Tamandua tetradactyla: one gene and its partner. The protein of the gene in region 2 purifies or fractionates together with the protein of the main gene of each other region. This does not show direct contact. Links are inferred from orthologs where the notes say so. Each region holds a gene or a part of one and is shown on either strand. Other genes may lie near its edges.

What was found.
Region 1: the proteins of CD2BP2 (region 2) and SART1 purify together in Homo sapiens (affinity purification with mass spectrometry; 4 studies listed by BioGRID and IntAct, with this or other methods). This does not show direct contact. The link is inferred for Tamandua tetradactyla from reciprocal best matches to the Homo sapiens genes CD2BP2 and SART1.

The regions. Positions count from the first base shown.
Region 1 is NC_135335.1:8,562,198-8,565,942, forward strand, and holds the start of SART1 (U4/U6.U5 tri-snRNP-associated protein 1), read right to left. Parts: upstream 2,318-3,745; 5' UTR 2,211-2,317; coding exon 1,895-2,210; intron 162-1,894; coding exon 101-161; intron 1-100. Other genes in the region: TSGA10IP (testis-specific protein 10-interacting protein), read right to left, coding at 3,305-3,446. UniProt on the Homo sapiens protein: Plays a role in mRNA splicing as a component of the U4/U6-U5 tri-snRNP, one of the building blocks of the spliceosome. May also bind to DNA.
Region 2 is NC_135349.1:24,206,038-24,209,782, reverse strand, and holds CD2BP2 (CD2 antigen cytoplasmic tail-binding protein 2), read right to left. Parts: upstream 2,938-3,745; 5' UTR 2,858-2,937; exon of another isoform or gene 2,844-2,857; intron 2,838-2,843; exon of another isoform or gene 2,716-2,837; intron 2,317-2,715; 5' UTR 2,293-2,316; coding exon 2,215-2,292; intron 2,018-2,214; coding exon 1,888-2,017; intron 1,765-1,887; coding exon 1,607-1,764; intron 1,503-1,606; coding exon 1,070-1,502; intron 989-1,069; coding exon 882-988; intron 813-881; coding exon 681-812; 3' UTR 550-680; downstream 1-549. UniProt on the Homo sapiens protein: Involved in pre-mRNA splicing as component of the U5 snRNP complex that is involved in spliceosome assembly.

The DNA.
Region 1 (3,745 bases), on a different chromosome or scaffold from region 2:
AGAATGCTTTATTATGTAAAAGCTTCCACAAGCAATCACCCCAGAAGCCACTTCTCTCAGGGGGGAAAAAAAATAGAACTACAAGGAACACAATACTTACTTGGTCTCCTCGATGCTGAGTGATGAGGCATCTCCTGAACTGGTGGTTTTGGAGCTAGCAGCTGGAACAAGAAATGTGGCTTAGGAGCTGAACCAGGGTCAAGATGCCAGCATCCCTTATCCAGCACCTGAGCCTTGCTGAGACACCTGCAAACAGCAGCAACTGTGGCCTTCCCTCACAGTCTTCCTCCTAACAACTCTTCCTATCTGAGCTGCAGCCTCTGAGAATCCTGCTTCTACATACTTCCCTTTTCTGTCCCAAGAGGGCCAATCTTCTGCATCCCTCCCTCACACTGCCACCTCTCTACCTTTGTACGTTGCACCTTCAACCTGCACTGCCCTCGCTCTGGCCTTGTTTGCACTGTAAAATCCTACCCAAATGCAAAGATGAAACACCATCTTCTCTGTGAAGGCCTGTCAATTACTGGATCAGAACTAACTGCTCTCTCCTGAAACCCATAGCACGGTTACTATTTCTGGGGCTGTTTCTCCCTGACAGTACAGGGACCATAAGGGCAGCATGACTGAGTCAGGGGCTGACCAAATCTACACATGTGATTCATATATCAAGAAGCAAACACTTTTTAGTGCCAGTTCTGTTATGCTGGATGCTGGGAACAGAGACAGAAAAGCATTTCAGTCCTCTTCCACCCACTTCACAAACAGCAAATTACTTCACTGAACATCACAGAGAGAAGTTAGACACCCCAGCTAGCTGCCACCTGGCTTGCATTCCCACCCTATCAACCTACCTCTTTATCCAAAGGTTCCTTTCTCCACCTGGGCCTAAGATTCCAACCCCTTTGAGCTCTCTCCAAGGTCAACAGCCCCATTTCTAAACCTATTAGCTATTTTTTAGTTCTGGTTTTGCTTAATCTCTTGTGGCATGTCACTCCCCTTCTAAAACCACTATCTTAAACAAACAAACAAAAACATTCTTCCCGCAGACCTCATGCTTGAGACTCACCTGGTTTTCCTCCTTTGGCTCCTCTACCTGCATTTTTGGAGCATTGTCCTCTGCCCACTTCTAAAACGTTGGCATTTCTCAGGTTCCCGTCCTGACCCTTTTTTCTCACACCTCACTCTTTCTCAGTGGACTTCATTTGTCAACCAAATACTCATACCCCCGCAAATGACCCTATTCAGCCCTGACCCTGTGTTTCTCCATGCATGTCAAACTCAATATGCCCCTAAACTGAATTTATTATTCCCCTCCTCCCACAAGTCTGCTTTTCCTCTCATCTTCCCCATTTCAATAGACAGCTCCACCACCAACCTAGATGCTCAGGTCAAAATCCAACGGGCCATCCTCAATTCCTTTCCTTCACCACCCTCATCCAAGTTCTGACTTCTAAGCACTTCTTCCATCTGTCTCCGGGCTCTATTCCATTGCTGCTGCTTTGGCACTGTCCAACATCAGCCCACACCTGTTTTTCTGCCTCCAGTCTTGCCTACTCTGAATCCACCCCTCCAAGCAGCGAACTTTACAAAATGTGAATCTGATCATCTCACTTCTCAACTGAAATCCATGACTCCCTGCTGCCCTAAGGACAATCTGCACACACTATAGTGACCTCATTCATTCATCCTTTAACTTACTCAACACATCAATTTAAGGCCTGTGATGTGACAGACAACTGAGGTCTCTAGAGAGCCTCAAAGGAGGACCCTTTAGTAACTAGGGCTGACGGAGAGAACCCGGGGCGGTGCTCGGCGAGCACTTGTCCCTAATCCCAAGGCCCGCACGCGGCGGGACCCCTGAAGGCCCCGTCCCTCCGCAGGTCCTACTCCTCACCCGCCTCGTAGCCGTCATCGCGCTTCTCCCGCTTCACACGCCGCTCGGAGGGCTCGGCCTGGCTGCGCTCCCGCCCGTGCGCGCCGCCCCGGGCCTCGGCCTCAGCTCCGCGCCGTCCGCTCCCGCGCTCGCCCCCGCGCTCCCGGCTCCTCTTCCTTCGTTCGCCGCCGCCGCTGCTACCGCCGCCGCCGCTCCGATGCTTGTGTTTTTTGTGCTCCCGGTGCCGCGGCGGCTGCTCGGTGGTGCCCCCGGTGCCGGCCGCCGCTGTCGTCCCGGCCGCCTCCTTCTCGCCGCGGTGCTTCTTGGACGACCCCATGGTGGAACGTCTGCCCCGAGCGGGCCGCCGCCGAGCCCCGACGACGCAAAATGGGAACGCTTCCGGGTCGCCCGGCGGCTGCCGTGTTGCCGGAAACCAAGAGCGGCTGCTTCCGTCGGTCGCGCGGAGGCTGACCCAGAGGCTCACGGGAAGGCCGAGGTCGGCGCCCCAAAGTGCGTTTGGCTGCAGGCGAGGGAGGTTTGCTCAGTCGGCTCAACTGCGCATGCGTTCCTTTGGGTGTGCGAACAGGGTCTGCGGAAGATCGAACCCCAGAGCTTGGAAACCCCGCCTTGGCTTGTGTCACCTGCAGCCACGCGGTGCCCACTGCCTCACGGCCTTTCCGTGGACAGGCGTCCTCCTAGTGGACTCCATCGAGTGTTGAACAGTGCAGCGTGACCTCCTGCAGACCCCCAGCTCCTCAGCCCGCTCCGGGCTTCTGTAACCACCACAGTCAGCCATCGCTGCCTTTCGATGTCCCCTGGATGGGGCTTTTCAGCCTGGGGTCTGTGAACTGCCAAGAAGCTCCAGACGAGCTTTTGTGTCTGAATCCCTTGAAAATTGAGTGCAAAATATGGCGCATCTGTGTGTGGCCATTGTTTTTATCTTGAGGAGGGGGTCTGTAACTTTTTTGGTTTTGTTTTGCTTTTTTGGGGGGGGGTCTATAACTTTAAGGCCCAGTTCACACAATCCTTCGGACACCCCCTACCCAAAATTGCTCATTTCCGCTGCTGGGTTCCGGCGGCTCCCCGTCAGTCCCCTGCTATGGTTGTTGTGCAGGTCGCTTTGAAGATCAACCCCACCACCACTACCACCACCAGTGTTCACTGGGGATCCTCAAAGGCAAGGGCCTTGTTTGTCCTGTTCACTCCTGAATTCCTAGGACCACGTGTGCCTTCCATGTTGGAGACTGGGCATGGGTTCCCCACCCCTCAGAGACTGGGTTGTGTGTATGTTGGGGGAGGGGGTTGAGCAGACAGAACAGTCAGCTCCTGGGGGAGGTGGGGGCAGACACCTGCCACCTCCTACAACCAACTAGCAGATCTCCCTCCCCCTGTCCACCCCAGAAATCCCACGCTGTATTTTCCATAGATCATTTAATTTTGATCTGGGGGACTGGACGCCAGGTCCCGGCTGGGAGCAGAGCGCCAGTCAGGCTGGCTGCCGGCATGTCTGGATTGTGTCCTCGGGGGGCTCTGAGAAGAGGGCTCTGTTCTCAGCCCTGATGGTCTGTGGCTCCTTAAAGATGAGGACACAGATAGAGGCCACAGGACGCCACAGCTGTACCCTCCACTCCCCACCCTTCGGCGCTAGGAGGGAAAAGGCCATGTGTCTGACAACGTAGGTTCAAATCCCAGTTCCTGTGCTAGCTTGCTGTGTAACCCTGGGTAAGGGATGTCACCTCCCCGAGCCTCAGTTTCCTTATTGTGGAGTGGACCTCAGGAGCCCTGCTCTGCAGAAGTAAGGGACAGTAGACATAGGGCAACCAGTGTGGCACCAGCCCCATAAGGAGGCTTGACGCATGGCTGCACAGATGG
Region 2 (3,745 bases):
AGGGATAGAAGAGGAGCCAAAATATGAAAACATACTGGCTCTGAAGATCTTAGAGGTCTTAGATAATATTGACTTACACAACCTGTTTCTGTCCGACTTCTAAGGAGCTTGAGAGAGTGGGGAGCCAGTGAGGAAGATGCTTCCTGCTCACTCCCAAAAGGATCACAAAATCTACCAGATGTCCCAGCCATTCAAGGCCTAATATTTCCACTCCTGGGGCTCTATCTCCTGCTGGCTGTGAGAACTGAGACTCTAATGTCCTGAAGGCCAAAGTCCTATGAAGAGCAAAACAGGAACTAACAGAGGAGCCTGGAGGGTGAGTGATGGGATTTTCAGATGGCAGAGTCCAGGTGGGGAGGCCACGGACATTTGACAGGCCCTGGATCTGCTCCACAAGAGTGGTAAACAAAGATGAGGTGATTGGAGAGAACACAGAGAAACTTCCAAGGAGTAACTTCATGGGAGGCAATACTCAAGGACTGAGGTGACTCCATAGGGGCTGTGGAAGAGGCCCCCTGCTTCTGGTCACCAGCAGAGCCAAGGCCCCAATACACAACTAAAGGCATTTATTGGGAAAAGGAAACTGAGAGGTGGCCCTCAATGTCCTCACTGCCTGAGGCAGTTGGGGCCAATTTAGAGTCCAGGAAGGAAGGGGCCAGTATCCTGGGCCCGCAATGGGCTCAGGTGTAGAGGTCAAAGTCAATGCGTTTGGAGTTGTAGAACTGACCACCAGGGGGGTCCAGCTTCCGGCAATATACACCATCCGAGAAGTAGCCTTCATTCACCCAGGTCTGCAGGGAGAGAGGGCAGAGCTGGGGGAGGACTGGAAGCAGGGGGAAGGGTAAGGGAGACAAGGCAGAACAAAGCAGAAAGGAGCTTACCTGCATCTGGGTGCTGGTAAAAGGCCCATAGAGCTCAGCATCCCCTGTGTTCTCCCACTTATATTCCCACATCACTTCCGCCAGACCATCCCCAAGTGACTCTGCTTCTAAAACAAGAGACAAAGCCATTTGGGCCTCAGTTGCCCTTCCCCTGCCCACAACCTTCCTTTTCTGCCCTCTACACTTACCTCTCTGGACAGCGGTTGGCGTCTCCAGCTCCCTCTCTGCCACTTCCTCAGCGAACATGTCCAGAGTGGGTGGGGGTGTAGGATCATGAGACCCCTGGGTCCGGCACCCTAGCCCCTTCAGTCGCATGGCCAACCGTTCCCGAGTCTCCTGATACACACCAAGGTTGCCCCGGGCCACCATCTGGTCAGCCAATCCCGAAAGTCGATCCAGGCGCTGGGGGGAGCTGGGCCGCCCAGGACCCTTGCTGCCCCCTTTGCCTCCTCCTCGGGCTCCCAGGCGCCTCAATGCTCCAGCAACTGTCTCCCTTGGCAGCAGCAGCTCCAGAAGGCCCTCCAGGAGGGCTTGGGCACTCATCGGTGTCTGGCCCAGACTGTCCTCCTCCTCTGAATCTGAGGCCTGGCGCTGATCAGGTGGTCGCTCCCGGATCTTTACCTGTAATTGAAGACAAAGGACTTACTTCCTACAAACTGCCAGAAGGCCCCAGGTCCAGCACCCACTGCCCCCAGGCCACAGACATGCCATCCCCTGGGCCACACCCAGTCAATGTTGTCCAGCCAGCTGTCTCGGATCTGAGCATCCCGGTTCAGGAAGTAGTTGCCATCTGCATCAAAGTGGCCTTCCTCCATCTCTTCCTGCAGGTTGAAGGGCGTGATTCGCACACCCCCCTCGCTGGGGAGTGTGGCTGCTTCCTGACCTGAACCAAAGACATAGACTCTCTATGTGAGGCAAAAAAGAGACAAGAATCTCCCTTGCCCCACAACTCAGAAGCCCCTCCTTGTCCCTCCAGTTGAGAGTCAAATTTTGGGGTATGGCTCACCTTCCACATCCTCTGAGGCCAGGATGTCATATTTGCGGGACCCCTCCTCGTCGTCATCCTCCTCATCACTGTCCAAAGAGTGTTTGCCTTTGAAGCGGCTCCCAGGGCCCCCAGCCACAGGGTCCACCATCTGTATACAGGTGAGAGATGAAGGTTACTGGCTGCTCCCCAAAACATTGACCCAAACTGAAAATCCTCCAAACCCACTCCTAAAACAATATGGAAAAGCCAACCCTCCAACATCTTTGTCCCACCAACTTCCTTCCTCTTCAGGCTTTTGCCTCCTCTCTACTAGTCCCCCAGAACGCAGGAGTCTGGTCCCCTCACCTTCTTCTTGGGGGCAATCATTTCATCCTCATCATTTTCATCCCCCACGCCCTGGAAGGTCACTTTCCTCTTTGGCATGACGGAACGGTGGGATCCCCTAAGCTGTGCCGAGAAGAGTGGAGAATTAGAGATCTGGGCGAGGTGGAGACTAGCCACCAGAGGGCCCCTGGCACAGCAAATTTTTCTTCCGGTACATGCCAGGTCCAGTTCGGGAGGCGAGGGAGCATTAGAGTCAGGAGCCAAAAGCGGAGCTGGCAGACAGTCGACCTCAGGGGTTTGGTCTGGCATTCAAGAACGTGGCTGAAGCAGGGACTGTAAAGGATTTTCCCATGGCCACCGTCGGTACCCCCATTTTTGACCAAAGGAGAGAGCTTCCCCCATGTGACCACCCTCATCCCCAAGCCCCGCAGGCCACAGCGAAACAGGGCTCCGCGGGTTACACCGCAACCCCCTCCCGCCGCCCAGTTTCCAGAGACCGCGGGGCCCGCGCGGACTCAGGACCTGGAGTCCGGGCCTCTCTGCTCCTTCTTACGCCGAACTCCCAATTCCGCGGGGCAACCCCTAACTATCCTGGGGTACGAATACAAATTAGAGGGACGGCAAGCATACGAGGATCCCAGGAAACCCACCCGCGCGCGATCACCTGGGGCTCCAGGGGAGGAGGGGAACGAAAGCAAGAAGGCTGTCGCTAGAGTTACATCCGGGGCACCCGGGCGCCACTACCCGGAAGAGAAATGCGGAAGGCGCCAAAGAAAGCCGGAAGTGGCTTCACTGCGTTTACACTAACTGGAAGAGCGGGCGGAAGTACTCAGGGAAAGAGGGAAGACACCCACCGCGAGAGGTGACGTGAGCTGCGTGGGGAGGCCATAGCAAGAAAAGAGGATATATGGATGCCTGATCATACCAGAGAGGTGGCAGCAAGTGGTTTCGATTCCGTAAGACAGCAGTTGAGGCTCTGGGGAAAGTGGAGTCCACTCGGTTTAAGAGGGCGCCAGGGGTCTGGATAGAGGGGCAAAGTCCAAGCAGAATCAACGATTCCTGCCCTAGTTTTTCTTTCCAGTGTTCGAGTCACCCTTCCTACAGGGCTGGCCAAGGGTTCTGCGCCCTCATCATTTCTGAGAAATTCTCCCTTCCTACTCAGAGCGTCTAATATTCTGCCATCTTCTTTCATAGCCTGGGAGGAGTGGCTTTACTCTTTTTCCCGTCGAGAGGAAGCCCGGCTCTTCAGATGATGCGCCTCGGGGGCCCTTGACCACACTTTGGTTTCAGAACCCAGTTCCCTTTAGGACCCATTTGCCCCATGCCCCGCCCCAGGATGAGCTCCTAGTTTCCAGGTCGGAAAGCCAACTCAGTGGGACCAGTGCGCAGTATCCAGGCCCCAGGCCCCTCGAACCCTGCTGTCAGGTAGGCATGAAAAAGGGTAGCAGCATGTGTCTGAAACTACAGCCACAGGATAAAGCTTCCCCTTTACCAAACAAGGCCCCAACCTGTGGTGCCTTATGCAGGTGATGAGTCTTGGCCAGTGCTGAGA